Linked DNA regions of Stegostoma tigrinum. The protein of the gene in region 1 purifies or fractionates together with the protein of each later gene. This does not show direct contact. Links are inferred from orthologs where the notes say so. Each region holds a gene or a part of one and is shown in the gene's direction. Other genes may lie near its edges.

Evidence for each region.
Region 2: the proteins of adrb2a (region 1) and usp33 purify together in Homo sapiens (affinity purification with western blotting; 3 studies listed by BioGRID and IntAct, with this or other methods). This does not show direct contact. The link is inferred for Stegostoma tigrinum from reciprocal best matches to the Homo sapiens genes ADRB2 and USP33.
Region 3: the proteins of adrb2a (region 1) and arrestin domain-containing protein 3 purify together in Homo sapiens (affinity purification with western blotting; 6 studies listed by BioGRID and IntAct, with this or other methods). This does not show direct contact. The link is inferred for Stegostoma tigrinum from reciprocal best matches to the Homo sapiens genes ADRB2 and ARRDC3.

What each region holds. Positions count from the first base shown.
Region 1 is NC_081366.1:51,362,344-51,372,408, forward strand, and holds adrb2a (adrenoceptor beta 2, surface a), read left to right. Parts: upstream 1-5,468; 5' UTR 5,469-5,739; coding exon 5,740-6,993; 3' UTR 6,994-8,311; downstream 8,312-10,065. UniProt on the Homo sapiens protein: Beta-adrenergic receptors mediate the catecholamine-induced activation of adenylate cyclase through the action of G proteins. The beta-2-adrenergic receptor binds epinephrine with an approximately 30-fold greater affinity than it does norepinephrine.
Region 2 is NC_081361.1:92,423,438-92,434,384, reverse strand, and holds the start of usp33 (ubiquitin carboxyl-terminal hydrolase 33), read left to right. Parts: upstream 1-6,173; 5' UTR 6,174-6,279; intron 6,280-10,947. UniProt on the Homo sapiens protein: Deubiquitinating enzyme involved in various processes such as centrosome duplication, cellular migration and beta-2 adrenergic receptor/ADRB2 recycling.
Region 3 is NC_081356.1:92,343,436-92,353,524, forward strand, and holds the start of arrestin domain-containing protein 3, read left to right. Parts: upstream 1-5,922; 5' UTR 5,923-6,176; coding exon 6,177-6,456; intron 6,457-10,089. UniProt on the Homo sapiens protein: Adapter protein that plays a role in regulating cell-surface expression of adrenergic receptors and probably also other G protein-coupled receptors.

The sequences.
Region 1 (10,065 bases):
ATGAGGAAGCTTAGAGGAATCTTGGCACGCTTGCACACAGGTCCCTAAAGGTGGCAAGAAAGGTTAATGGGGTCGTTAAGAAAGCATACAGGACACTTGACTTTATCAATGACAGCGTAGGTTATAAGAGCAGGAAGGTTATGTTACAGCTGTTTTGGTACAGAATTTTGGTTCGGCCACAGCTGGAGTACTGTGTGTAGTTCTGGTCACCACGTTATAGGAAGGATGTGATTGCACTGGAGGGGGTGTGAAGGAGATTTAGCTGGATGAAGCCTGAGACACAGCAGATGAACTATGAAGAGTATTAGGATAAGCTTGGTTATTTTTGGAGCAGAGAAGTGAGGAGGGACATAATTGAAGTGTTTGAGTCTGTGAGGGGCGTAAGCAGTGTGGATGGAAAGTTGCTATTCCCCTCACTTGAAAGGTCAACAAAGGGACATAATTTTAAAGGGACAGGCAGGAGGTTTACGATGATTTAAGTAAAAACTTTTTCACCGAGACCATGGTGGTAGTCTGGAATGCATTACATGGGGTGTTAATTAAGTCTGGAAACCTCACAACCTTTTAAAAACTACACTTGAGGTGTGATCACATTCAAGACTAAGGGGCCTAGTGTGGTAAAATGGGACTCGTGTAGGTAGTAGAGCATTTCTGGCAGCACGGACATGAAAGCTCAAAGTGTTTCTTCTGTACTGTATCATTCTATGATTTTTATGATTCTAGGAGGCCCCTTAAGCCTGCTCTGCCAATCAGTAAGATCATGACTGCTCTGATTATTCCACCTTTCCACCTATCTCTGATAATCCTTCATATCTTGATTTAACAAGAATCTATCTACCTCTGCCTTACAAGAAGGTCCAACCACTCCTTCCAGCTTTTGAGGAAGAGAATTCAAAAGGCTCACAATCTCCTGGAGAAAAAAATTCTCCTACTCTCTGTCGTAAATGTGGACCCCCTTTATTTTTAAACAGTGACCTCTGGCACCAGCTGAGATTATACATAGGACTCTCCTTCTCAATCTCTTCCCCTCGCCTGGGCATGATAGCCCTGAGGCTAGTCCACCACTGGTTGTCTCTCTAATAAAAGAGGAGTCCAAAGGTCTGTCAAAACTTTCCTTTATTGGTCGTTGCATTGAGTAAAAACATTGCAGCTGTACAGGATATTGGTAAGGCTACTTTTGGACTTCTGCATTTAGTTCTGGTCTCCCTGCTATGAGAAAGATGTCGTTAAACTTGAAAGAGTTCAGAAAAGATTTACAAGGACGTTGCTGGGGTTGGAGGGCTTGAGGTATAGGGAGAGGCTGAATAGGTTGGGGCTAATTTTTGTGGAGTGTCAGAGGCTGAGGCACAACCTTATAGAGCCAAGATCTTTTTCCCAGAGTAAGGAAGTCCAAAACCAGAGGGAATAATTTTATAAACATATAAAGAGTGGAAAGATATAAAAGGGAACTATGGGGCAATTTTTCATTCAGAGGGTGGTGTGGTGTGTGTGTGAAATGCACTGCCAGAGGAAGTGATGGAAGGTGGTACAAATACAACATTTAAAAGGCAGCTGGATGGGTACATGAATAGGAGTGGTTTGGAGGGATATCGGCCAAGCTCTGGCAAATGGAACTAGATTAATAGATAACAAAGTGTGAAGCTGGATGAACACAGCAGGCCAAGCAGCATCTCGGAGACGCTGCTTGGCCTGCTGTGTTAATCCAGCTTCACACTTTGTTATCTTGGATTCTCCAGCATCTGCAGTTCCCATTATCTCTGGAACTAGATTAATGTAGGGTATCTGGTCAGCCTGGATGAGCTGGACCAAAGGGTGTGTTTCCATACCATATAACTTTATAACTAATTACGGAGACTTTATCTTTTGAGTTGCGGAACATCCCAGAAGAGGAAGCATCCTTTACACACAGACCCTGTCACGATCCCTCAGGATTTTACGTTTCAACCTACTTGACTTTTAGCCTTCTCAGCTCCTGGAGTCTGTCCGAACTTTCCTCGTTAAACAACCCACTCATTCCAAGCATTAGTCTAGTAAACTTGTTTTTTCCCCTTGCTTATCTATCTAATGCCCTTGTTTACAGAGCCAAACATCATACTAATTTGAAATACTATCAACTTCAAACACGCTGATTTGCGTGGAAAGCCTGACGCCTTCCTGACATTTTTTCTTAATACAAACTTGTTTCGTTTTATCACGCAAAGCAAAATGAATAGCTAGCGACAGCATTTTAATCTACCTGTTTTCTAAAAGACGTAACATGCGTGACACTTTATTTCGGTGCGAACGTCAGCCTTTTATAATTAGAACGAAGTATAAATAGCCATTAATTGATTTATAAATATCCTGGAACTGTTCTAGCCCTTTTAAAGATCAGACCGGTTTGGCTACAGAAATCTGTACTGGAGATTTCGGAGCAATTCCTCCATTTGATTCATTAATTTGGGGCACTGTGCAGTTCTACAATGTGCTTTAAGGCACATTAACTTTTTGTTTGCTGGCGGAACTCGGATCTCTCCGCATCTTGTGTTACCTCATTAAACACTACTTACGTAGGATTTTTTTGTTTGTTTTTTGAGTTAATTAATTACCATTACCATTCCCTTCTGTTTGTTTTCTCATCAAAAGATGCCCTGCCGCTTTAGGATCAAATTACGTACCAATTTCTCGTGTTAGTATTGGATAACATCATATGAAATCTACACCAAGGCTAATGTAAAAATAATTTTCAATTTCCCATTCACCATCTCCTTCGGCATACAAGCAAATGTGATAACTGAAATCAACCATCTACATTTATGGAGAAACGTAACAGTCCCAATGCTTTCAATTGTAGCAACCCACTGAACAGACTTGGGAAGCGAGAGGCACTTGTAGATTCTCCAGCGTCATTGAGCAGACGTTAGTTGAAAATGACTTGTGTTCATCTGACCTAATGCAACCTTGACGCTTATAAGTGCCCAACTTCTCTTTAATATATTGTACTTTTTCCAGAGATATGTACAGGCTCGCGTCCTACTTTACCACTTGTACCATTTCAGGATTTTGATTTAACCGGGCGACCCTAATATCGATTTCGGTGTCGATCTCTGCGAGAAGCTTTGTTTGCCAACGACGAGCGATATCTCAAACGGAGACATGAAGAGATGGTCACGCTGAGAGTGTCACCTCTTCAGAGCCGGGAACGTCATTAGCTTCTTTTGCCTTGACATCATTTGGATCCTCTACGTTGTTCCCCGAGGGTAGCGGAGGTGCTTGGCGTTGGGGCTATACACATCGGTCACTTAGTCCGAAGCTATCTGAATGGATTGCGTTTTCTCATTCCCATTCCTGACAACAGCCGCAGATATTTGATACCCAAAGTGGGATATTGTGACGGAGGGCTAAAATATAACCGGGTTGGTGCCCATTGATTATAATGTCGAATTGCTCTGGTATCTCCCACAGAATCAATTAAACCTCTGCCACAAAAAGGTTAACATAGTGTCAACGTATTTACTTTTCGAATCCTCTAACTGGATATTAAATGTCTGAGATAATGGGAACTGCAGATGCTGGAGAATCCAAGATGATACAGCGTGAGGCTGGATGAACACAGCAGGCCAAGCAGCATCTCAGGAGCACAAAAGCTGACGTTTCGGGCCTAGACCCTTCATCAGAGGGTCTAGGCCCGAAATGTCTGCATTTGTTATGGAACATTGTGTAAACGATATGTAAACGGTTAATCCAGAACATGCAGTTACATTGCAAATATTACAGGAGACTAGAGGTTAGAACTAGTGAAAAGCAAAGTTAGAACTGACATCGGAAGCGTTTGTTCATTCGGATGGACCAGTGTACGCACCTCGTGGAAAATAGAGAACGATTTGGATTCCATACAGAAGAGATATTTGGGGTCAGTTGAGTGGATGAACTGAGACAAAAATGAAACTGCTACTAAGTAACCAGGCACTACTTCCCTGCTTATCCTTCCATTACTGTTAGGAGATATTTAACGGTCACACGAAAGCACACTTGTCATCCAAACTTCTAACCTCGTTCAACATAATTATGCTGGAACCTTCTGAGATGATTAGATCCTGAACTGACTCAGAGGCGCAAATGTTACATAATAACCCAAGCTGACGACAATATTTTGATTTACTTTAGGATATAATCCATTACTTCAAATTGTAGCTAATTTTGGTTTAAAAATTATATTCACCGAGGTAGTTTCTTGGGAATGTCAGTAGGGTATATTTTTCCAGGGAACATGCTATTAAGTATATTGCCACAGTAAATATTTTAATAAAACATCAGATACCAAGAGAGACAGTTTCAATTGACATCCTTTGAACGTACATATGCAAATAATGCATCAGCCCAGCGAGATCGTACACTTAACCATTGGAGCGATTGTCTCCCTGGAAATCAAAATGTTTTGGAGAATTCAGCATTTAGATAAAATAAGTCGGCAACGTAGAACAATTCGCGCTGTTCTAGAAATCTCGCGAAGTATTACAGTTATGCGTGTCCAACAACAGTTTGCATTTATTTTGTGCAGTTAACATAGTGTAAAATGGTCTAATGCGCTTACCACAACGAACATCGAACTTGTGGAGATGGAAACATATCTGAAAGCTTTCAGGACAGGCACAACAGAGAAAGAAAGCAAAACTTCCGTTTTGTCTGGAGGAGGCGATAACTCTGCCAATGTGCAGAAATAAATGGGAGGCACACCTTTTTGCACTGTGTTTGTGATGGCAAGTCTGCTGGCCCATCACTGTGGGCAGTGAAATAAAGCCTGGTGTATGTCCCTAACCGGAATGTAGAGTTTGGGTCAGGTTTGATTCATGACCGAGCGGTCCCGGTTCAGCGTATAGCCTCAAGTGGCAAAGTGAGTGTTGACTACAGTTAGTGTGTGAAGCTCCGTGTGTGTGCGCGCGTGTGCCTAGCCGGCGTAAGAGAAGTCAGGAAGTCTGCACTGAGCCTACCTCCACTGCTTACCCGTCACATTTCAGAACAGGAATATCGTCTTCAGGAAAAGAAGAAAAAAAAAACAATGCGCGACTTCATTCGAGGGGAGGGTGAAATTGAAGCCGGGAGGTCTCGATTCGAGTAGCAGAATCCCAGTAAACTTCAGATTGGGAGTACGCGCTGTCAGAAGCTTTGGAGGGTGGGGGTGGGGTGGGGGGGGAAGTCAGACTTCAGCGTCTGTGTTCCTTGCGCTGTGATGGTGAGAATCTGGCACGAATGCTGGTTTCTGCAGAGAATTTCTCAAGCCTAGAATTTTTTTAAAAAGTGGCAATTTACTATAAAAGTATGTCTTTTTTGTGATTGACAAATGGCTACTTCTCCCATTTATATGAATAGCCCCGAATCCTGTATCCTTTCTGAATACTGTGAAGTTGAGTTACTGAGCCCCAGTGGTGGTCGGACTGACGGGGAACACGCCACTTGTGTCTAATACTTGGAGGTAAATAGTGCAGCTAACGATGGGTGCAGGCTTCGAGGTTTGAAGCTGCAGGTAGACGGCGATTGGTTGTGAAAGATTATGACGTTCCGCCCCCCTTGGGCGCTATATAGAAGCGAAAAGGAAGGAGCGCTCAAACAGAATCCACAAAGCGGAGTTCTGCAACGAACGGGCGAGAGAGAGAGAGAGAGAGAGAGAGAGAGGGCTAAGTGGCCGGCTGTAGAGTCACCGAGTGATATGAGTGTGAGGAGAAGGGAGAGCTGCTGGCATTATGTGCAGCGCCGCTGAGAATGGGCTCGCAGGAGAGTAGCTCAGAGAGCAGTGTCTATTTCCCACTGAGCCCCTACATGCTGAACAGCAGCGCAGCTCCGGGGAGCGAGAGCGCGGTCACCCGCAAGGAGCTGAGCCCGGCCTGGAAGATCATTGTCAGTATCGTCATGTCGGTCATGGTGCTGGTGATCGTGTTCGGTAATGTGCTGGTGATCACGGCAATTGCCCGCTTCCAGCGGCTGCAGACGGTCACCAACTATTTCATCACGTCGCTGGCCTGTGCAGACTTGGTGATGGGGCTGATCGTTGTCCCGTTCGGTGGGGTCCGCAGTATCACCGGCGTCTGGTACTTTGAAAACTTCTGGTGCGACTTCTGGACCTCGCTGGATGTTCTGTGCGTGACGGCGAGTATTGGCACCCTGTGTGTGATCGCCCTGGACCGCTACCTGGCCATTACCTCGCCTTTCCGCTACCAAACGCTGCTGACCAAGTGCAAAGCGCGGCTGGTGGTGCTCCTAGTGTGGATGGTAGCGGCTCTCACTTCCTTCCTGCCCATCTACATGGGCTGGTGGAGGCTGGATGACCCGGACTCCCAGAAATGTTACACCGACCCCAGGTGTTGCGAGTTCCTCACCAACAAAGAGTTCGCCATCTCCTCTTCCATTGTATCCTTCTACCTGCCCCTGCTCGTCATGGTCTTCCTCTATACCCGGGTCTTTCAGGAAGCCAGGCAGCAGCTGAAGAAGATCAACAAGTACCAGGGTCGCTTCCACAATCTCAACAACAACTTGAACCAGCCTGCCCCTTCTGTGAATGGCAAAGCTGCCAAACAGGGGCAGAAAAGGACGCCCAGGTTTCTCAATCTGAAGGAGCACAAAGCTCTGAAGACGCTGGGGATTATAATGGGCGTCTTCACCCTCTGCTGGCTGCCCTTCTTCGTGGTGAATATCGTCAATGTCATTTTTAAGGACAGCATCTCCAACACCGTGTTCATTTTCCTGAACTGGGTGGGCTATTCCAACTCGGCCTTTAACCCGCTCATATACTGCCGCAGTTCGGATTTCAGGCATGCCTTCAAGACGGTGCTGTGGGGCTGCCGGGGCTCGCTGCCGTCCACCCACCACAGCAGTTATCCCAATGACAACCCCGTGCCGAGCGAGGATCGCCTGACGAACGGTCTGCCCTGCAGCTTCGAAGGAGCGGCGCCCGCAGCTGCGAACTGCAGCCCCCAGCCCGATGGCAATGAACACAGGCTCCTAGATTCGGTCATATAGCGGCGGCTAACCGACACCCACACAACTAGTGGAACTCAGCAACAGGGGGCACACGAACTTGACACTGAGTAAGACGAGATGTTCCAGCTCGATTCCGCTTGTACTTTTCATGCATTCGCCTACCTCATAACTCAGTGAACGCAATGCAAGGACGTTGTGGTGAAAGTGTGTGAACCCCCAGCCCGCCCCGCGGGAGATGTAAGCCAGCTCAGTAAAACAGAAGGACAATTCTTGAATGTTGCTACATGAGCATTAACGGAGTGTTTAAATGTTTACAACTCGCATGACGCCTATTATATAAAGGCCATGTCGACCTTACTGAAAGCATTTTTGCGCCCTCTTTACCCCCTTGGATGCTCACTGGCACACCATTTTAGAAGGGATTGTGATCTATATCACAAAACATCAGGCGATTTATTCGGCTGAAGAAGGGATCTCAAAGAAGGATTGTTGAGTGCAGTTGCTGGAAACATTGGAGTCAAATAGTCAGTACAGTAGCTGTTAGACAGTGAGAAAAGAGATGTGCATTGCGGTCACTAAGTAGCGAGATCGCCCAACTTCCTCCCAACAAAGAGAAATGAGTGGGATGTCTGTATATGAGGAGGAGGAAGGGTCCAGTCTATCCGATTTCTCAAAGTTAGATGTCCAACGGGTTTGCAACTGCGTGCGCGCAGTTCGAGTTAGGAAACACCCCACCCCTTCCCATTCCTCATCCACGCATTTTCATAAAATAGAAAACAAACGTGTGTGCTCATTTGCCGGCGCGTTCACATTTTGTGTCTGTACTTGTACTGTGGTGTGTTCGTTGTGACCTTTAAGTGCGTAACTGTATTTTGCAATGTTGCACTTTTTCGAGTCAAACAGTGCTGAAGCTCAGTCTAGGCCCGAAACGTCAGCTTTTGTGCTCCTGAGATGCTGCTTGGCCTGCTGTGTTCATCCAGCCTCACATTTTATTATCTTGGAATTCTCCAGCATCTGCAGTTCCCATTATCGCTGTAGCTCTTCTGGACGTTTCTCTTTGCAATGAAGGTGAGGCTTGTCGTTTTCCATTCCCCGCCCCCCATACGTTTCGCAGATAGAGACTGCGTGGTTTCACGTGAATAAGTGTCGAACAACAACAAGAAAAACTTTTTTTAATAGTAAATAATTACCTTGTACCAATGTCAGTCAAAAGCTATCCTACTGAAATGTTAACCTGAGCTTTCTGTGGCATTGTCTAGTTCCTGAGTCCGGGTATTGGAATTTTCCTGTACGCCAACGCTTGGAGCGGATCTTTGTGGGATTATGTGCAATAAATGCTCGTGATTTCGGCGCTGAACAGGCATGGGGCAGTTCAATGTTTACTTGATTTCTGGGTCGATATATTTTCGCACAACGTCAAAACAAAACAGTTATTTTGGATTTTCATATGAATTCAGGTAATTAAGAAACGAAACAATTTTGGATATTTATTATTTAGAATCAATATTGGCTGTCTATTCGTGTACAAATAAAACTTTATATCTTCAAATCACTTTCATTGCGTGATTTTAGCTTAATTTAAAACAAAGTATTCGTAGCTAAACTTATCGTCACTACGTTTCTTTGTCATCAAAATCCGCCGACTTCCAATAGCTCGGACTATATATAATCTTAGATTTTGCCCCCATCTTTTGGACGAAAAGTTTGGATAAATTACATAGCAGCTGGTAGTTAGTTATTACTGCGTTAGAAAACAGGCCAGTTTCGTTAACTGGTAGAAACTGTTCAGACTTCACAATAAATGCAACCTTCTCACCAATATGTTTGTTTTTGTAATTATTTATCGCAGGCTTATTTTACGACTTTGGATTTCAGGTCTTTGTGAAAACAGAATGTTCCTGTGCGGGTGGTCCCATTGTTCCTTTTAAAGAAATTAATACTAAATAAAAGAGGGCGGACTGAGTAGCCTGGATCTTGCGGCTGTTCTTGAGATTGCAAATTTACTTACAGATTTCTTACAGTTATTACATTTATAAGTATATGAATAAGAAATGTTTGGAGGGATATGGGCCAAGCTCAGGCAGGTCGGACTAGTTTAATTTAGGATTATGGTTAGCATGGATTGGTTGGACTGAAAAGTCTGTTTCAACGCTGTGTAACACTATGACGCCAGTAGAAGTTAACAAGATACCTTACTTTTTTTTCTCCTTAAAATGTATTTTGCAATGTACTTTTACAAATGCTATTGAACAAAGTGTGTGGATGTGAAAATTAGTGGCATAAAATCTCAAAACAACCTCAGTTTCACATTGAGGTGCCTCAATACAATTGTAAAGCTTTTGATATTTACGCTACACAGTCCATTTCAAACCTATATTGCATTACACTTTGACAAGTTACATATTCCAAAAAATGCAATAGAATTCAACTGTTCTTGATGTAGCATGTTTAAAACATGAACTATTAGTGAATTTTTACAGCAGGTTGATAGGATTTCCTCCTACCCAAAAGATTCTCCCACTTTCCAGTGCCTGAGTCCAGATATTAATACTTATTCTCCATTAGAAGCTTTTGGAAATAAAATCCAGGGTCGTTATTTTGAGATAGGTGTAACAACTAACAAACTGCTTTTGACTGTGGCAGTAATTTTTGGATACCTGGATATCTCAGCAATCTGGACTACATATGCAGGACTTTCATAGAATGCTGAATTGCTGGTTTTACCAGTTTCCTTAAGCAATGTAATCAATTGCAGATAATTTAGCTGTATTTTAACAGAATAGCATTTTAATGCTTAAAGCAGATGCTTAGTGGGACTCATTTTTGTGCTACACAGGTTCTAGCTTCTGCTCATATTGACTTTCTTGTGACATATACTTGGTCTTTGAACAAAGCATTTCCACTGTAAAGATATAATCATAGTGTGAATATATAGTTTTCCTAAAAACTGGCTCAGATATTTGCACAATTAAGGATTGAACAAAAAAATGTATAATTAATTATTGAGTAACCCTTTTTGGAACAACTCTTAAACAGGAATTTTTCCCAACTGTGGTGCTAATATTCTCCAACTCACAATAACAAGCAACTATTCTACTGGTGAATACATAT
Region 2 (10,947 bases), on another chromosome or scaffold:
CAAAAGGGACCCTCGTAGACACAGGGAGAATATGCAAACTCCATACAGTTGCGCAAGGGTGGAATTGAACCTGGGTCCCTGGCCTTGAGAAGCAGCACTGCTGAGCACTGAGCCACCATGCCACCCCATGTGTTTTATATCTTGTTGTGCTAACATATCTTATATACTAGAGGAAACATACAGTTCTATCTAGGTATTATTTCTACATAAATGTATTTTGACTGTAAAGCAAGATGAAATCATTGACAACACACTGCCTTAGATAGGCTGCAGTGTTTCCTTTAGAGCAGAGAAGGCTGAGGGAGCAATTTGATTGAAGTGTACAAAATTATGTGGGACATAAATAGGAAGAAACATTTCCCCTTAGTAGAGGGATTAATAACCAGGGGACTGAGAAGTTTAGAGGGGACTTAAGGATGATATTTTCACCTAGAAGGTCGTGGGAGTCTGAAACTCACTGCCTGAAAGGGTGGTAGAGGGTGGAACTAACATTACATTTAGGAAGGGTTTAAATGGTCACTTGAAGCATCATAGAACACTTGGCTATGGACCAAGTGCTGGAAAGTAGGACTAGAATAGATAGGTAATTGATAACTAACACAGACATGATGGACCAAAGGGGTCTCAAACGCTATGACTGATTATTGGAGTGTAAATGCTAAAACTAATTAAATCATTGGTTAGGCTGCAGTGTCTGTTTTTAGTAGCTTATTTGGGAAACATGTGAAGGATCTCTAAGGTTTTGGAGTAGATTTGTAGCTTGGGTTGTGGGGGTGAGGTTGGTTGTCTTGCCGAGCTGGTTTGTTGTTCTGTAGACGTTTCGTTACCGTGCTGGGTAACATCCTCAGTGCAGCCTCTGATGAAGCATCGGTGTGTTTTCCTGCCTGGCTTTTAAACTCTGGGGTCCATTGCGATGGATTGCCTCACTTCCAGATGTCCTACGTAGCGGAATGTATATGGGGTCAAATTCAATGTGTTTATTAATAGCCTGCTTCGTGGAGTGCCATGTTTCCAGGAATTCTCGCGCTTGTCTCTGCCTAGCCTGTCCCGGGATCTTGGTCGAAGTCATGGTTCTCCTTGTCCATGTGGATTGAGATGAGTGAGTATCGGTCGTGTCTTTTTGTAGCCAGTTGGTGCTCATGTTCTCTTGTTAGTTTCCTTCCTGTTTGTCCGATGTAGTGTTTCTCGCAGTCTCTGCAGGGGATCTTGTAGATGACATTTGTCCTGTCCATTACCAAGCACAGTAACGAAATGTCTGTGGAACAACAAACCAACCCAGTGAGCCAACCAACCTCAACAGATGGAAAGGATTTGGAGAAGGGATGGAAAGGGTGCACTAAAGTTATCTAGTGGATTACAGTCACAGAGTAATAGAGATGTACAGCATGGAAACAGATCCTTCAGTCAAACTTGTCCATGTCGACCAGATATCCTAAATTAATATAGTCCCATTTGCCAGCATTTCACCCATATCCCTCTATTCATGCACCCAACCAGATGCCTTTTAAATGTTGCAATTGTACCAGCCTCTGCCATTTCCTCTGGCAGCTCACATGCACCACCCTCTGTGTGAAAAAGGGGTCCCTATTAAATAATTCCCCTCTCATCTTAAGCCTATGCCCTCTAATGTTGGAGTGCCCTACCCTCGTCTGCTAACTTACTAACCATTTCTCCTATTTTCACATCCAAATCATTTATATCAGTGACAAAAAAAATATATTTTTGGTGAAAAAGACTGGGAATATCTGATTAAAGAGCATACAGCTTAGGAGTTTGAGGTGGCCACTCAGCCCCTTAACCTGCTCCACGATTCTAACCATCATGGATGATCTGATTCTGGCCTAACTTTGATTACTTTGCACCCTGTTCTCATCAAGAATATTATCAGTTTCTGAAAGAATAGTATTCAAAGACTCTGCTTCCACCAGTTTTTCAAGAATAGAATTCCAAATACTCAGGGCCACTGAGAGAAAAGATTTCTCCTTCTGGGGCTTGACTGCTTATATTTAAACAGTGACCCCTGTAGCTCTAAAAACAATGGAAATTTAGAAGATAGTTGATGTAGGTATTCAAAATTATGAGAGACTTTGGTATGTTTAATTACATGTGCAGTAATTAGAAGACATTCAATTAAGATTATTACCAAAAATAAGGGTTCAGAAGTGATATTGAAAGAGTCTTGTAAGTTGTTGCGATGTCTCCAGGTGATAGTTCAACTCACTGTAATTGCTGCAGCATTGGTAGAAGGAATCAGTGCTGGGAACTTTGGGACTTAGTGACAGGAAAAGGCCATTTGGCCCTTCAAGCCTGCTACACCATTCAATAAGCTCATGGCTGAACTCAATAAAAACCAAAAGAACTGCAGATGCTGTTAATCATGAACAAAAGCAGAAATTGCTGGAAAAGCTCGGCAGGTCTGGCAGCATCTGTGAAGGAAAAAAATCAGAGTTAACGTTTCGGGTCCGGGTCTGATTTTTTTTCTTCACAGATGCTGCCAGACCTGTTGAGCTTTTCCAGCAACTTCTGTTTTTGTTCATGTCTGAACTGGTTTTGGTCTCAGCTGTACTTTCCTATCTGCATCCTTTAACCGTCTTTTGTCTAATAAAAAAAAGTCAAACTTGGCCTCCAAATAAATTTAAATATCCAGCCCCCATGCCCTTCTGGAAAAGAGAGGTCTGAAAAGACCCCTTATTTTCAAAGTAAGGGAGACGGTGGCCGAGTGGTATTTTCACTGGAGTATTAATCCAGAAACTCAGCAAATGTTCTGGGGACCTGGGTTTATATCTTGTCATGGCAGATGGTGGAATTTAAATTCAACGAAAATATTTGGAATTAAGAATCTAATTCTAATTTAGGAATCTTATGATCACCATGAAACCATTGTTGGAAAAACCCATCTGACTCAATGTATTTTAGGTCTGGCCTACATGTAACTCCTGACCCACAGCAATATGGCCGGATCTCACCATCCCCCTGAAATAACCAAGCAAGCCACTCCGTTAATATCAATCACTATGAATTCTCAAAGAAATGAATCCAGATGGATCATCTGGCATTAACCAAGGCCACGAAGAGACTACAGCAAAAACAGTCCTGTTGACCCTGCAAATTCCCCTGGGAGCTAATGACAAAACTGGGATAGCTGTCTCACAGACTAGACAAACAACATCCTGACATAGTCATACTCATAGAATCATACCTTACAGACAATGTCCCAGACATCACCATCACCATCCCTGAATATGTCCTTTCTCACCGGCAGGACAGACACAGCAGAGGTGGCAGCACTGTGGTATACAATTGGGAGGTGGTTGCTCTGGGAATCCTTAACATTGACTCCAGACCTCACAATGTGTCATGGTTTCAAGTTAAACATGGGCAAGGAAACCTCCAGCTCCTTATCACGTACCATCCTCTCCCAACTGATGAATCAATACTCCTCTATGTTGAACAACACCTAAAGGAAGCACTGAGGATGGCAAAAGCACAGAATGTGGGTGGGGATTTCAGGATTTCAAGAGCGGCTTGGCAGCAGCATCACTGAGCAAGTTGGTCGAGTCTTAAAGGACAGTTACTAGACTGGGCCTGTGGCAGGTGGTGAGGGAACCAACAAGAAGGAATAACATACTTGACCTCAACCTTACTGGTATGCCAGCTGCAGATGCATCTGTCCACGACACTGTTGGTAAGAGTGACCATTGCACACTCATCGTGGAGAAAAAGTCCCACCTTCACATTGAGAATACACTCCATTGTGTTGTGTGGCACTGTCACCATGCTAAATGGGACAGACTTTAAAAAGATGTAGCAACTGAAGACCAGGCATCCATAAGGCACTGTGGGCCAACAATAGCAGCAGAATTGGGGTGGCACCATGTTAACACTGCTGCCTCACAGCACCAGGGACCCAGGTTCGATTCTGGCCTTGGATGTCTGTCTGAGTTTGCACATTCTCCCCGTGTCTGCACGGGTTTCCTCCCACAGTCCAAAAGATGTGCAGTTTAGGTGGATTGGCCATGCTAAATTGCCCATAGTGTTCAGTATGTGTGGCTTAGGTGGGTTATAGGGTCTGGGATGGGATGCACTGAAGTTCGGTGTGGACTTGATGGTCCAAAGGGCCTGTTTCCACACTGTAGGGATTCTAATTCTTATCGTACTCCAGCTTAATCTGTAACCTCATGGCCCAGCATATCCCCCACTCAACCATTACCATCAAGCCAGGGAATCCACCCTGGTTCAATGGAGAGTGCAGGAGGGCATGCCAGGAGCAGCACCAGGCATACCTGAAGATAAGGTATCAACCTGGTGAAGCTACAACACAGGACTATTTGTGCACCAAACAGTGAAAGCAGTAAGCGATGGGCAGAGCTGAGCAGTCCTACAATGGACAGGTCAGATCTAAGCTCTGCAGACCTGCCACATCCAGCTGTGAATGATGGTGGACAAATAAATGACTCACTGGAGGAGGAAGCTCCACAAATATGATGGAGAAGCACAACACATCAGTGCAAAAGATAAGGCTGAAGGATTCGCAGCAATCTTCGGCCAGAAGTGCTGAGTGGATGATCCACCTCGGTCTCCTTCAGTGGTCCCCAGCATTACAGATACCAATCTTCAGCCAACGATTCACTCTATGTGATATCAAGAAACAGCCGATGACACTGGATACTGCAAAGGCTATGGACCTGACAACATTCCAGCAATAGTACTGAAGACTTGTGCTCCAGAACTTGCTGCTCCCCTAGCCAAGTTGTTATACAACCACAACAGTGGCATCTACCTAACAATATGGAAAATTGTCCAGTTATGTCTTGTACATAAAAAGCAGGAGAAATTAAACCCAGCCAATTACCATGCCATCTGTCTACTCTTAGTTATCAGTAAAGTGATGGAAGGTGTCATCAACAGTGATATCAAACAGCACCTGCTCAGCAATAACCTGCTCACCGACACCCAGTTTATGTTCTACCAGAGCTACTCAGCTCCTGACCTTATTACAGGCTTGGTTCAAATGTGGACAAAAGAGCTGGGTTCCAGAAATGAGACTGCATTTGACCAAGGCTCAAGAAGCCTCTGCAAAACTGATATCAATGGGATTCAGGGACAAATTATCTGCTGATTGGAGATATACCTGGAACATAGGAAAATGGTGGCAGTTGCTGGAGGTCAGTCATCTCGACTTCTTCGGAGTAGTGTCCTCGGCCCAATCATCTTCAGCTATTTCATCAATGATCTTCCCTCCATCATAAGATCAGACATGGGGATGTTTGCTTATGGATGCACAATGTTCAGCACCGTTCATGACTCCTCAGATATTGAAGCAGTCCACGTTCAAATGCAACAATTTCTACCTTAAACATTGGTCTGGTAAGACTCTGGTGATGTTACCTTGCCTTTACTTTCAATATGTTCAAACATTGAGCTTCCACAGCCTTCTGTGGTAGAGAACTCCAAGGGTTCACAAACCCTGAGTGAACAAAAATTATCCTAATTACAACCCAGGTCCCCAGAACATTGGTGGTTGATTGGGGCATCTCGGGGCGGGATTCGGAGATTGGCAGGGGCAATCCGGGGGCGGGGTTTTGTGATTGACAGGAGCCTCCCGCGGGCGAGATTCGGTGATTGACAGGATCCAGTTGGGGGCGGGGTTTTGTGCATGACTGGATCCTCTCGGGGCGGGATTCGGAGATTGACAGGATCCAGTTGGGGGCGGGGTTTTGTGGTTGACTGGAGCCTCTCGGGGGCGGGATTCGGTGATTGACAGGATCTACTTGGGGGCGGGGTTTTGTGGTTGACTGGAGCCTCTCGGGTGCGGGATTCGGAGATTAACAGGATCCAGTTGGGGGCGGGGTTTTGTGATTGACTGGATCCTGTCGGGGGCGGGATTCGGAAACTGACAGGATCCAGTTGGGGGCGGGGATTTGTGATTGACAGGAGCCTCTCGGGGGCGAGATTCGGAGATTGACAGGATCCATTTGGGGGCGGGGTTTTGTGGATGACTGGATCCTCTCGGGGGCGGGGTTCGGTGATTGACAGGATCTACTTGGGGGCGGGGTTTTGTGGTTGACTGGAGCCTCTCGGGGGCGGGGTTCGGTGATTGACAGGATCTACTTGGGGGCGGGGTTTTGTGGATGACTGGAGCCTCTCGGGGGCGGGATTCGGAGATTGACAGGATCCATTTGGGGCGGGGTTTTGTGATTGACTGGAGCCGCTCGGTTCGGGTGGGTGAGAGTCGGTGGCGGCTGGCGAATTGAATGAGATCGAGGAACGGGGAATTGGGTAAGTGAGAACCGTACTTCGAGTGCAAACTCTCCCTGAGCATGACAGGCTTCTTCCTCGTTTCCCGGTTACACAGTGTCTTCTGGGGGCTGTGCCTGAGGCCTCTGGCCGGCGGCGCTGGATCCTCCGTGTGTGGAGGTGTCGGCCCCGGGACAGAGGGTGGCCTCTCCCGCTTTGTCTAGGCCCCGCTGAGGGCTGATTGATGCAGGCTCAAGCCGGGACTCGGGCCCCGCGGGATTGGTCACAAACTGACTACTCCCTCCTCTCTGGTCACCTACAAACACCATCACCCCCTCCTCCCCAAGACTCTGGTTATCATTATACCCCCAACCTCACCTCCATCCCAAGCCTTCTGATCACTCAACTTTACCCTCCCGCCTGGTCATGAAATCCCCACTCTCTTGTCATCACCCCCCCCATATCCCAATTTACTTGTCATTTCAACAGGTTGCCATGGGCTAGAATGCAGGCTGCCCCTGTTAGGCTGGGTAGGCGTTATAAATTGGGAGGTATTAATTATTTCAGAGATAGTAAGAACTGCAGATGCTGGAGGATCTGAGATAACAAGGTGTAGAGCTGGTTGAACACAGCAGGCCAAGCTCGTAAGATGCTGCTTGGCCTACTGTGGTCATTCAGCTCTACATCTTGTTATCTCAGGTATTAATTATTGTTTTGTTGCAGAGCTACAGGCATGCTTTTCTTTTATGTGGTTTGCTCCCCTCACTCTGTCCCCTGAATGAAACATAACACACAAACTAGGAGCAGGAGTAGGCCATTCAACCCTTTAATCCTGCTGTGTCATTCAACTGATCCTATATTTCAACACTATATTCCTGTTTTCTCTACATTACTCTAAATGCCTTTAATATCAAAACACTAATCAATAATAATCAATATACTCAGTGACTTGCCTCCACTGCCTTTTGTGGTTGAAAATTCTCCAGGTTGACAATCTGAGTGAAGAATGGTTTCATAGAATCACAGCATTTTACAGTACAGAAGGAGGCCCCTCAACCCATCATGTCTGTATTGGCTCCTGAAAGAGCTATCCAGCTAGTCCCATTCTCCAACTCTGCCTCACAGCCCTCTAAATTCATCATTTTGTAATAAATATCCAGCTCTCTTTTGAAATCTCATATGGAATCCACCTCCAACACTATCCCAGGCAACACATTCCAAATTCAACTGTCTAAGAAGTTTCTTCTCATCTTACTCCTTTCTGCTCAATGCCTGTCAATTCCTAAATTCAATGACCAATAAATAGAAAGTGGGACATAACACCACCGCTTCGTCAGAGGCTCACTGATGATGTAACCTAGAATGGTGACGAAACGTCTGAAAACTAACCTTTCAGTTCAGTGAGCAAACTCACATCCAGGGAGTTAAATACGCACAAATTAAGAGTAGATGTAGCAATATTACCCCACATGTGTTTTGTCTGATAAATGGCCTCAACTGCAATGAAACTGGTGAACTACCACACCAACCTAGAAACTGGAATTGACAGTGGCAAACTCAGTCCTTTTCTCCTTATTTCTGGGTTTTAGTGGCCAAACGGGGAGAGCTGTCTCACAGTTTAGTCAAGCAGCAGCCTGACATAGTCATACTCAAGGAATCATACCTTACGTGCAATGTTCTAGACACAGCACCAACCCTAGATATTTCCTGTCCCACTGGCTGGCTATACCCAGCAGACGTGGCCGCATGGTGGCATTCAGTTAGGAGGGAGGTGGCTCTGGGAGTCCTCAACATTGACTTCGAACTCCATGAATCTGTTTCAGGTGAAACATGGGCAAGGAAACATCCTGCTGATAACTACGTGCCATCTTCCCACATCCGATGAATCAGTAATTCTCCATGTTGATTATCTTAATCATGAATGATCTTTCCTGTGACTTGAGACTGTGACCCTGGTTCTGAACTTCCAAACCAGGGAAAACATTCTCCCTGCATTCAGCCTCTGTCGCCTAGTTAGACTTCTATGTGTTTAAATTAGATCTCCTTTCATTCTTCTGAGCCCAAATGTATACAGTCCGAATTGATGCTTTCTTGAACTGTTGCAGTTGGCCATATGGTGAAAGCGCTCCTACAGTTCTATCAGGCCAGAATTTTGACCCAGTGAGTGGTTCCAAGATTGAAGGGTTTATGACTTGGAAGGGTATAAGCATGTGATGAAGAATGTGGAAGCTGTTAGCAGAGGGCACAGTTGAAACAAAGTATGGCTGCAGTTGAGGGGAAGCTAGACAAATAAATGAGGAAGAGGGTTACAATATTAATTGTGGAAAGATGGATGGGGACTCAATAATTTAATATTGGCATGGGCTGGTTGGGGTAATTTGTATATCTATTATATCATATCTAATCCTCTGACCGTTTTCTTGTGTCCCTACTGTCCTTCTACATAGTCCTGGTTGAGAGTTTGAGGTGAATTAATGACAAGTCTGGGTGTTCAAAGCCTGAGTGTTTGTGTGAAAAATAGCAGGTTCAGTACCTGGTCTGTGAGTGAGCTATGAATGAATGGAGGTGGAGATTGAATGTCCAGAATTGACAGCGTTTAAGAGCAACAAGTGAGAAATATCCCACAGTTCTGACAGAGGATGTTATACATAAGCAGATGCTGCTGCAGTTATGATCATCAAATTGCTGTACATTGTTTCCTAATCCTTTCTGCCCCACCCATCTCAGTTAATATGCTAACTCATTTTGGCATACATGTCAATGTGGTGTCAGCAGATGTCAGGTATTTCATCCATTTGGCTGCTGGGAGAGAATGTGGATCAGTTGTGGGATGGGAAGGTGATGGCTGAGTGGTATTGTCACTTGACTGTTAATCCAGAAACCCACACAACGTTCTGGGACCTGGGTTTGAATCCCGCTACGGCACTTGGTGGAATTTGAATTCAGTAAAAATGTCTGGAATTGGGAATCTAATGATGGCCTAGAATCCATTGCCGGAAAAACCCATCTGCTTCACTAATGTCCTTTAGAGAAGGAAACTGCCATTCCTTGCCTCCCTCCTTACCTGGTCTGGCCTACATGTGACTCAGCATGTGGTTGACCCTCTGGGCGATTAGGGATGGGCAATAAATACTGCCTGGCCAGTGACGCCACCATTCTGATAATGAATGAAGAAAAATAGGTGGGCTGCTAAGTAGAAAGGTGAATTGAAAATTATGAGCCCTTTAGGAATACAGGACTTTGGCACATGGGTAGGCTCAAGCTTACTCTGAGTCAGTAAGATAAATGGGGAAGATAATGCCATAAATAGGGGTTGTAATGTTGTCATTGCATCTGTGCTAGCACACATCAGGATGTCAATCTTGGTGTAGTTCAGTAACATGCAGATAGTTCAGCCAGTCAGCTTGTATGAGGACAATCTATTGCTGGAATTATAAACAGTAGACTTCTCATGAGTTGGATATAATGCAGACCATATTCCGCGATTAATGTTTGGAAATTGGGGAGATCATTTCGTCCTTATTTATATACTTTGGTTATAATCTTGTTCTGACCCCTGAAGTAACAGGGTACAGAGGAATCTAAACGTTGGAAAACATTAATGATGGTGAATATTCACGGGACGCTGCACATTATTTTTCAGCTTAATTATGTTAACTAAAGATTGAGTAATGTTTGTGCATAAGCATCAGTGTTAAGTGGTTCCAAAATTGTATCACGCAGAAAAATTGCAGTGTGGTTCACAATCTAACCTTAGCTGAAACATGATACCCCTCCACAGCATCAAGAGTACCCATTGCTTTGGTTTATCCCTCCAGTGTATAATTGCTTTACTCTTCCTTATCTCTCAGAGTACTGCATTCTTGCAACTTGGCCTCTTGTACAGCCTCAGTCACTTTTGTTTCTTCTCTTGGTGCCATGCTTTTCACTGTCTTGGCTTTAACCTCTGAAATTTCCTCCCTAAATGCTGTACCTCCCTCTCTATTAAAATGCTACAAAAAACCTATACCTTTGACCAAGCTTTTAATCAACTATCATAATATTTTTCTGTTTGACTCTGTTCATTCTTCTTGGATTTTGTTCCTGTGAGGCACCTTGAGATGTTGTCTGAGCATTGAATGTGCAAGATAAATGTAAGTTAGATATTGTATTTAAAATACTTACGGGGGTCGCTTCTATTTTCTGTGCACTTTAGTTAACTTCCAAGTTAATATTTTGGAAGCATGGACACTACTCCCTTCACAATCTCTAAACATTCAGATGTTCCAAGTGAAGAAGTATGGTTGCAATGTAGAGGGCCATATTTTTGGACCATTAACTGGAATAGAAGTTGCAAATGATATAAAGCTAAAATACCAGAAGAATTTGTAACTTGGAAAAATCATGTGGTGAACATCTTTGTATGTGCAAGGAGATGCTACTGTTGCAACGAGATTCATACGTTGTTGAGTCTGAGGCACCAGGAATTTTTGAATTCATGAAAGACACCCCTCAGATTGGTCCATCAACAATTTGCAACAGTTTAAGTTCAGAAAAGCCAGAGACATTCAGATGAAAACATCTCGCTTCATGTCGCTGAAAAAAAAAGAAACTGAGGAAACCTTAAAATAATTTGAACAAGACCTGGATCTATCCAATCAATTATTGAAATGAAGAACAATCACTTTATCGTCAATAGTGTGTCATCAAAACAAAATGAGACAGAATTTA
Region 3 (10,089 bases), on another chromosome or scaffold:
AACCTGGTTGTCAGGTGCAAGGGGCTTTCGGTACTGTTGTATGTGGCGCAGGCCTGGTCTATTCCCTGGACCTGCGCCGCAGCGGTCACCCGGGCCATCTTCCACTTCATTTGGGGATCGAGGGTGGACCGGGTCCGCAGGGACACCATGTACAAAGACCTGGGAAATGGGGGAAAGGGCGTACCAAACGCCACCCTCGCCCTGACGGCTACCTTTGTGTGCGGCTGCATCAAGCTGTGCGTAGATCCTCAGTACGCAAACACCAAGTGTCACTACTTACTGAGGTTCTACCTGTCCCCGGTGTTGCGAAGGATGGGCCTGGCCTCGTTGCCACGGAACGCTCCAAGTAGTTGGACATTCCCATACCACCTGTCCTTCGTGGAGAAATTTTTGAAAGGTAACACCTTTGACCACAAGGCCATAAGAACATAAGACATAGGAGTGGAAGTGAGGCCATTCGGCCCACCAAGTCCACTCCGCCATTTAAATCATGGCTGATGGGCATTTCAACAGCACTTCCCTGCACTGTCCCCATAGCCCTTGATTCCTTTTGAGATCAAGAATTTGTCAATCTCTGCCTTGAAGGCATCCAATGTCCCGGCCTCCACTGCACTCTGCGGCAATGAATTCCACAAGCCCAACACTCTCTGGCTGAAGAAATGTCGTCTCATTTCAGTTTTAAATTTAGCCCCTCTAATTTTAAGGCTGTGCCCACGGGTCCTAGTCTCCCCGCCTGACGGAAACAACTTCCTAGCGTCCACCCCTTCTAAACCATACATTATCTTGTAAGTTTCTATGAGATCTCCCCTCAACCTTCTAAACTCTAATGAGTACAATCCCAGGATCCTCAGCCGTTCATAATACGCTAAACCAACCATTCCAGGGATCATCCATGTGAATCTCCGCTGGACACGCTCCAGGGCTAGTATGTCCTTCCTGAGGTGTAGGGCCCAAAATTGGACACAGTATTCTAAATGGGGCCTAACTAGAGCCTTATAAAGCATCAGAAGCACATCTCTGCTTTTATATTCCAACCCTCTTGAGATAAATGACAATATTACATTCGCTTTCTTAATTACGGACTCTACATGCAAGTTAACCTTTCGAGAATCCTGGACCAACACTCCCAGATCCCTTTGCACTTCTGATTTACAAATTTTCTCACTGTTTAGAAAATAGTCCATACCTGTATTCTTTTTTCCAAAGTGCAAAACCTCACAGTTACTCACATTGAATTTCATCAGCCATTTCCTGGACCACTCTCCTAAACTGTCTAAATCTTTCTGCAGCTTCCCCACCTCCTCAGTACTACCTGCCTGTCCACCTATCTTCGTATCATTGGCAAACTTCGCCAGAATGCCCCCAGTCCCTTCATCCAGATCGTTAATATATAAGGTGAACAGCTGTGGCCCCAACACTGAATCCTGCAGGACACCACTCGTCACCGGTTGCCATTCCGAGAAAGAGCCTTTTATCCCAACTCTCTGCCTTCTGTCAGCCAATCCTCAATCCAAGCCAGTAGCTCACCTCGAACACCATGGGCCCTCACCTTGCTCAGCAGCCTCCCGTGAGGCACTATATGAAAGGCCTTTTGGAAGTCTGGATAGATAACATCTACTGGGTTTCCCTGGTCTAACATACTTGTTACATCTTCAAAGAATTCTAACAGGTTTTTCAGGCACGACCTCCCCTTACTAAAACCATGCTGACTTGTTTCAATCTGACCCTGCACTTCCAGGAATTTAGAAATCTCATGCTTGACAATGGATTCTAGAATTTTACCAACTGCCGAGGTTAGGCTAATCAGCCTCTAATTTTCCATCTTTTGCCTTGATCCTTTCTTAAACAAGGGAGTTACAACAGCAATTTTCCAATCATCTGGGACTTTCCCTGACTCCAGTGACTTTTGAAAGATCACGACCAAAGCCTCCGCTATTTCCTCAGCCACCTCCCTCAGAACTCTAGGATGTAGCCCATCGGGGCCAGGAGGTTAATCAATTTTTTGGACCCTTTAGCTTTTCTCGCACTTTCTCTATTGTAATGCCTACCGTACTCAACTCTGCCCCCTGGCTCTCCCTAATTGTTGGCATACTACTCACATCTTCCACTGTGAAGACTGACGCAAAACACAAAGGCCATCAGGCAGTGGTTAGCACGTAGAATTCTCGAGACCCTTCGGGAAAAGGAGAGGTTGGATCCTGTCGTGTGGTTCCCCACGCAGACTGCCAAAGTCGTTTGGCAGAATGCCTCATCGCCAAAACTTTCAAACAAGCACAAGGACATTGCTTGGCTGGCGGTGAGAGGGGCTCTGCCAGTGAGATCCTTTATGCATGCCCGGAATCTCTGCGCCACCGCACGCTGCCCTTGAGGCGGCTGCCGGGGGGGACGAGACTGTCTATCACCTCCTTCTGGAGTGTGCCTATGCGCAGGAGGTCTGGAGGGGGATGCAGTGGTATTTGTTGAGGTTCGTCCCGAGCAGCTCCGTGACACAGGACTCCGTGCTCTACGGGCTGTTTCCCGGGACGCACACCGAGGCCAACATCAACTGCGCCTGGAGGACCATCAATGCAGGGAAAGATGCTCTTTGGTCTGCCCGCAACTTGCTGGTCTGCCAGGTGAAAGAACTGACCCCAACCGAGTATTGCAGACTGGCACACTCCAAGGTCCAGGACTATGTGCTGAGGGACGCGCTCAAGCTTGGGGCAGCCGCTGCCAAGGCACTGTGGGGAAAGACCACCGTATGAAACCCCTCGTCCAGAATAGAAACAAGGGCCCTATCTGATAACTGGGCCCAGCTGGTGCCTTCCCCAACTGGTCAGGGGGCCAACGGGGGCTGTGCGGGGAGACGACTGCCGGGGTATTTTCTTTGCTTTGTTTTTTTTCTTTGTTTTGTTTTTTCCTTTAGTTGGTGTACGTACCCCCTGGGTAACCTGGAGCGGCTTGCATGACTGGGTAGGTGTATAAATGTTTTACTTTTTGTACATTCTATGAATAAAGTGTATTTTTTCAAATTAAAAAAAAGCGACAAAACGTCTGAAAACAAACCTTCCAGCTCAGCGAGCAAACTTACATCCAGTGCAAGGAATTCCCAGGAGGATGCCCTAGACCAAATACCTTCGGCTACACTTTTAATGAGCTTCTTCCTACCATAAAATCAGAACTGGGAATGGTTATTGATGAGTACACAGTGTTCAAAACCATTCATGACCCCACAAATATTGATGCAATCTGTCTATGTGCAGCAAGGCTTGAATAGTCCTGCTTGGGCTGAGAAGTGGAAGAAACACTCCCCACAGCTACAAGGCAATGTCCTTCTCCAACAAGAAAGAATCTAATTGTCTCCCCTTCGCATTCAATGGCATTACCATTGCTAACTGCATCACTTCTGAACATCCGATGGGTTATCATTGACTAGAAACTGAACAAGCCATATAAATACAAGACCAGGTTAGAGTCAAGGAATTGTATAGAAGATTAGTCACTTCCTGTCTCTACAACACCTGTCTACCACCTGCAAGGCACATGTCAGGAGTGTGATAGAATACACTCCACTTCTTTGCATAAAGCTCCAACAACAATTGTGAAACTCAACACCAAAAGCAACTTGTTTGAATGGTACACTTCTACCACCATCAACATTCATTCCCTCCACCAACAATGCAGCAGCAGCACTGTGTACCACCTCAGAGATGCACTGCATTAATTCACCAAGGTTCCTTTGAAAGCATGATCAAAACCTGCAAACTGTACACCCTGGACAACAGCAGGAATCTGCTTGGATGCACCGTCATCTGCAAGTTCCCCTCAAGCACATGCCATCCTGACTTGGAAATACATTGTCATTCCTTCACTCTTGCTGGGTCAAAATCCTGGAACTCCCTTCCTAACAGCCATTGTGATGTCCCTAATCACATGGATTGTTGCAGTTCAAAAAGGTGACTCTGCCATTTTCTCAAATTGTGGGGATAGGCAAAAAATGCTGGCTGGGCTAGTGATGTCCAAGTCCATTAAAAAAACACCAAATGTAGATATTTTCCACGCAATCTGTTCTGAGATGTTGTCACACTTGTTACCCCAGGTTTGTCAAGTGCCTAATTGAGGTGATTAAGGTGAATAACAGATTTGATAGAGAAGTTGGAGTTAGTTAAACTATTTTCCCTTAGTGAAGAAAAGGGAATAATGAAGGGTCTAGGCCCGAAACGTCAGCTTTTGCCATCCTGAGATACTGCTTGGCCTGCTGTGTTCATCCAGCTTCACACCTTGTTACCCTAATAGCCGTTAATGTTGCACAACTGACAATTCCACAATTGACACTTGTGGATTTTCGTTGGGCAGAGTAACTGAGGATTTATGGAACCACATCGAGTAGCTAGAATAACGATACAAACCAGCCGTCATCAGGTTGAAGATAATAAAATGTGAGGCTGGATGAACACGGCAGGCCAAGCAGCATCTCAGGAGCACAAAAGCTGACGTTTCGGGCCTACACCTTTCAGCAGAGAGGGGGATGGGGAGAGGGAACTGGAATAAATAGGGAGAGAGGGGGAGGCGGACCGAAGATGGAGAGTAAAGAAGATAGGTGGAGAGAGTATAGGTGGGGAGGTAGGGAGGGGATAGGTCAGTCCAGGGAAGACGGACAGGTCAAGGAGGTGCGGCTTGGAGTGGGAGGAAGGGATGGCTGAGAGGAAGAACCGGTTAGGGAGGCAGAGACAGGTTGGACTGGTTTTGGGATGCAGTGGGTCGGGGGGAAGAGCTGGGCTGGTTGTGTGGTGCAGTGGGGGGAGGGGACGAACTGGGCTGGTTTGGGGATGCAGTAGGGGAAGGGGAGATTTTGAAACTGGTGAAGTCCACATTGATACCATATGGCTGCAGGGTTCCCAGGCAGAATATGAGTTGCTGTTCCTGCAACCTTCGGGTGGCATCATTGTGGCAGTGCAGGAGTCAGATTGAATGCCGTTACAGGCTTCAGTTTGAAGGTCCTTATTCCTACTTCTACGTCATGTTTAAAAAGTCGTCAAAACGCAATCTTTACATTTCGCCGATAAATCATGGAGCCTCAAGAAAGATTTACATTGTGAAAATATTTTTAAAGAGACATCAATATTGCGTGGATTGCTTATTTCGGGGCAGTAGCTGAAATGTTGAAAGCGAGTGAAAGACGTGAATGTATAAAAGTTCAAAATAGATGTGGAAAAGAAATGACATATGTGCGAGGTAAAACAGAAGACGGAGAAACGTTAGAATGCTGTGATAAATCGAACGGATGTTAAGTCGGGGATAAAGGAAATTAAGTTACAAGTAAAAAGTAACAGGCTGTCTTCATCCAGCTCTACATCTTGTTATCTCTAAAAAGTACCCCTAAGTAGTTGTAAATTTGGAATTGGCTATTACATGAAATAGCCACACGGTGTCGACAAGGTGTAGAAGACTGACGAGAGGAGGATTATACACCGAATATTACTTGGGTGCAACAATTGCAACAACCGCTATTATTATTTTGTATTGTGCTTCAGCGACGGTTATGTCTATTTTAATGTGCAGAATAAAGCCTTCAAAATCTATTGCTACCGCACGGACGAATAATGCAACATGAGTGCGGCAGATGCATGCGACGTGACCCATGTGTTACTGCAACAAACCGGGGAGTGGCGCTAATTCGAATGCTCGCCTTGTGCATTGAATTGATGGAATTAATGACCTTTTGTAATCGCGTTAGTACAAAAAATGCCTGCGGCACGATAGACTGCGAATTCTGATATTATATATATGTATATTTTTAATGGTGCAAATAAAAAACATGTATTTTATATGTTTGTCTCTGTGCTACTAGTCTACTTTAAGGGGGAATGACCTCAATCAGCTGTTGATCAGCTGGCACTGGCTCTAGACTCAAGGCGGAAGCAGGGTGAATCATGCACAGGCGCACTGGAGTTGTTTTTCACAAAAACCGTTTTAAGTGAGGTGGTAGGTATGATATCCCCGTCTTTTGTACAGACCAAAAGCTGGGCAACAGCATCTCTAACTGTCCAAATCCAGATGCTCCTTTTTAATATTGCAGTGGTCGTGCCTGCTGTTTTTGCAGCAAAAGGCACTGATCAGTGGTGAAGATCCCACTTTTCAGATTTTTTTTGTACTTTTTTTATAGTCACGTATATCTACATAGATTATAAATAACCATGGTGCTGGGAAAGGTGAAGAGTTTTACAATAAGCTATGACTGTCCTAATGATAACAATATACCCGTCTATGCCAGCGGAGATTCTGTCTCTGGACGGGTAATTATAGAAGTTACTGGTGAAATCAGGGCGAGATCTCTTGCAATCCATGCGAGGGGACAGGCGAAAGTACGCTGGACAGAATCGAGAAACGCTGGTTCTAATACTGCCTATACTCAGAACTACACTGAAGAAGTAGAGTATTTCAGCCACAAAGACCTTTTAATCGGGCATGATAGAGGTAAGCTTGGAACTGGAACAAATAATCTTTCTGATCTGAGAGTTTGTTTTGTTTAAAGTCTTTGTGCAGCTTACTGTAACCCTACTGTAAAATGTGAGCAATGGAGATCAGATTGTACGACCAATTTAGAAGTGCAATTTTAATGTTATAAAACGTTATTAGTTATTATAAGTATTAAGATAAAGGAGTTAAAATTTCATTTGACATAACTTCATAGATGTAAAAGTTCGGTATCCTGTCACTCACCTTTCACTGCCAATTTGTTTGCCAATGAGTGGTGAGATTTTACATAGGGTGGTTAGCAATGGTTTCAAACAAATTTCGTGACAATATTTTGCCGATTTTCGAAATTGCAGTAATTCTACTGCACCGATTTATAGGGTTTAACTCCTTTCTTCCTGTTCAGGACCGTCATTTTGTAATATGCAAAAGAAATCCAAACGATTGCACTGTTGAATTTCTAGTGACAGTTTCATCCATCCAAGCGTTTTTTTCTTTGCAATTCAGATTTGAAACCAAATGTCTAAATTACAATAGAAAATAAATGCCTGACTGCCCTTTCAATAATTGCAGTAATGTGTGTGCAGTGACTTCCAGACCAAGTCTTTGAATTTACAGTCCAAAAATGTTCGAAAACTCGTTATTTTTAAAAGGAAAAACTTATTCAAATAATTTCTAAATCGATACAATGGGGCCATTTAATCTAAATTTGATGTGCTATGTGGCTTACAGCAACATTATTCGACCCATCACTTAGAGGTGTCATTGACATTAAATTGATTATATATAGATTTCTGCAGTGACATCGCTTGTCTCAATATTATATTTGTAAACTTATATATTTAACAATTGCAAATTTACTGTATATTCAGTAACATTCAAAAAAGGTTAGTTGTTTTCCTAAGTTTCCACCCTTTGTTCAAAGCGGTTCAATCCTGTTTGGGACAAGCATTAGGGGGGAGGGAGGGGGAATGTGAGTCTTCTCTTCGCTCATTGGTTTACACCGTCAGATGGTGAGGATGACTTAATGCTATTTTGCAGAAAAACAATTTGCAACAGCTGCTTTGCACCTTCGTAATATATGTATATTACCAATAAAAATATATTTTTTTCCTTGAAATGACCTTTTTCCACACCGGTGTGTGGGTATAGGTGTAATACCGTATCAATTCAATTTGCAAATCTTCTATGAAATTGCGTTATTTCAATCTACTTTCATGGATACGGAAAAGAATGAGCCCCTGGCATGTTTTTTTTCAGTACATATTTACATCAACCTTAAATATTCCGGAGGAGGATCGATCAGCGGATTAAGAATACAGTTGTGCTTATTTGTCTTAACCTTGCTGAGTGAAAAGGCAGAGATGTTCACTTTATTTCTAGTTTCTTCAAACAGATATTTTTGAGATTCTACAATCTGCACAGTACATCGTGTAAATGATGTGCAGTCGCCATTTATTCATTGCAAAATGGTAGAAATTGTAATACAATGAAGTTTGGCGTGCTGTGTCTTACCAAGTTTTCTGTCGTTTAGCTTGGCTTTGTTGCAATTGCTCCTCCCCGACGTGCCGATTGGTTCCTCTGTTTGTTAGACTGTTGCTAAGGCGCCGTTAACTTTAGATTGGCCAGTGGAGCTGTCTATCACCTATCGTTTGTTCTGCTTCAGTGATCGACTCTTGCAAAAAAAATCTTTTAAGAGTTCATGGTCTTATAAAAAGGGTGGATTTAGTAAAGCAGGGACGTGGCAGGAATGCATCATTATTTAGAACGTGTATAATCGATGTCATTTTATTTCTGAGAACAGTGGCAACGTTAAATCTCCCCTTTTGATGAACATTGTAGTCAATCGTATGTGCGATTCTCAAGCCCTTAAAATAAGAGGCCGAAGCAACAATTTAAGTCCAAATGACAACACAACAATTTTCTTTTTTTAAAAAAATTCTAAAAAATCCTTTTTCTACGTGTGTGCGTTGAGAATGGGTTGCATTTATGGATCGCCTGGTGTGTGTCCAGCCCCTCCCTTCCATTGCTCTTGTTTCCCCCCTCTCTCCCTCCCTCTATGAGCAGACTAGGCTGGGCTGGGCTCTGCTGCTGCTGATGAATACCATGTGGTTGCGGCTGAGCTGGGCTGTTCGCTCCGGTTCAGGCCGGCTCTCTCCGCTGTCTGCCTGCTGCTGATTGACAGCTCACTACTTGTTTACCGCTTCACTGCAAAGCTGAGCGTGCTGAGCTGGCAGAAAAAGGGGAGAGGGAGAAATAGGCAGAACCTCATGGAGGAAAATAAAGTTGCACAAGAAATCGTTACAAATAATGTTGTATTATGTTGCAATTTTTTTAGATTCAACATTATTCTTAAATTTATTTTTAACCATGACAATGCTATGGATAGAAATTGATCTTCAAATTGCACCGTGTAAGGATTTCGAACGTTTCTAGTGATTTAACAGTTTATTTTAGAAAAAAGGCACTAATCCCTATTAAAACATTAGATTTTAATTTCCCTAATTTTATGGGGAGGGTGTTCCAATTTCAGTAGACAGGTGCAGTGTTTTAAATGATGCTGTCGGTGAAGAGACCCCAGCATCAGGTTGCTGTCGTTTGTCAGGAAATCCATGACTTGGCATAGAAATGGGCTCGAGGTAGTTGGACAGTCACGTCATTGCGGAGAATAAAGAAGGTCAGATTGTTTATCCTTAAAATAAAAGCCCCAAAGGCTCAACTGTAGCTGTGCAAGGGTGGAGCAGCTCGGTCTTTGCAGCTTTTGATAGGACCACTTCAAACAACGCTGGTGATCGCCTAGTAACAATCAACCTTAACTGTACCTTCGCCATTTCCTGGAGGAGTAATGTGTTTATTGCTAGGAACCAACAGAAGAAATTGTTAACTGCGTTATTTTAATTTTTTATAGGCAGCAACAAAACCATTACCTTTTGTTCTGCAGTCTCCAACTCGAACTTCAAGTACTGGAGTGTTAGACTTTAAAACAAAATGTTGATCTACATTGAGACTTGGTATACATATGACTTTTCTGCTAACAAATATTATATAATTGACTTTTAATTGCTGCAGCCTATCTATTTCATCATTCAATAAAAAAATTGGCCTTTTTCATTCCAGGAGCACTCTAGTATGCTGCTCAATTGTATCAACAGCTCTCAAACAAGTCTGCCTTGGTAACTGGGAATAATGAACAATAAATGGCAGATTTGCAAACAACACCCACGTAGTCATTGAGAGATACAGCGCAGAAACAGATCCTTCGGTCCAACTCATCCATGCTGACCAGCTATCCTGTATAAATCTAGTCCCATTTGGCCCATATCCCTGTTAAACTCTTCCTATTCATGTACCCATTCAGGTGCCTTTTAAATGTTGTAATCATATCATTCTAAAAGTTTATTTTTAAAAATGGAAGGTTTGGCTATTTGTACAGTTTGTTAAGAGTAGAGCAAGATAGCCTCCACAAAGTGCATGTTGAAGTCTACAAATGTTCCTCTTGTACTGCGCCAGTTACTTGTATTGCGTTAACATCTTGAGTATTAAAGTTGTACAGAAGTTGCATAAGTGTTCTATTCCCCTAAATTGGACCTGTCAAAAACAGACATTGATGTGTTACAAATTAAATTGTTGATA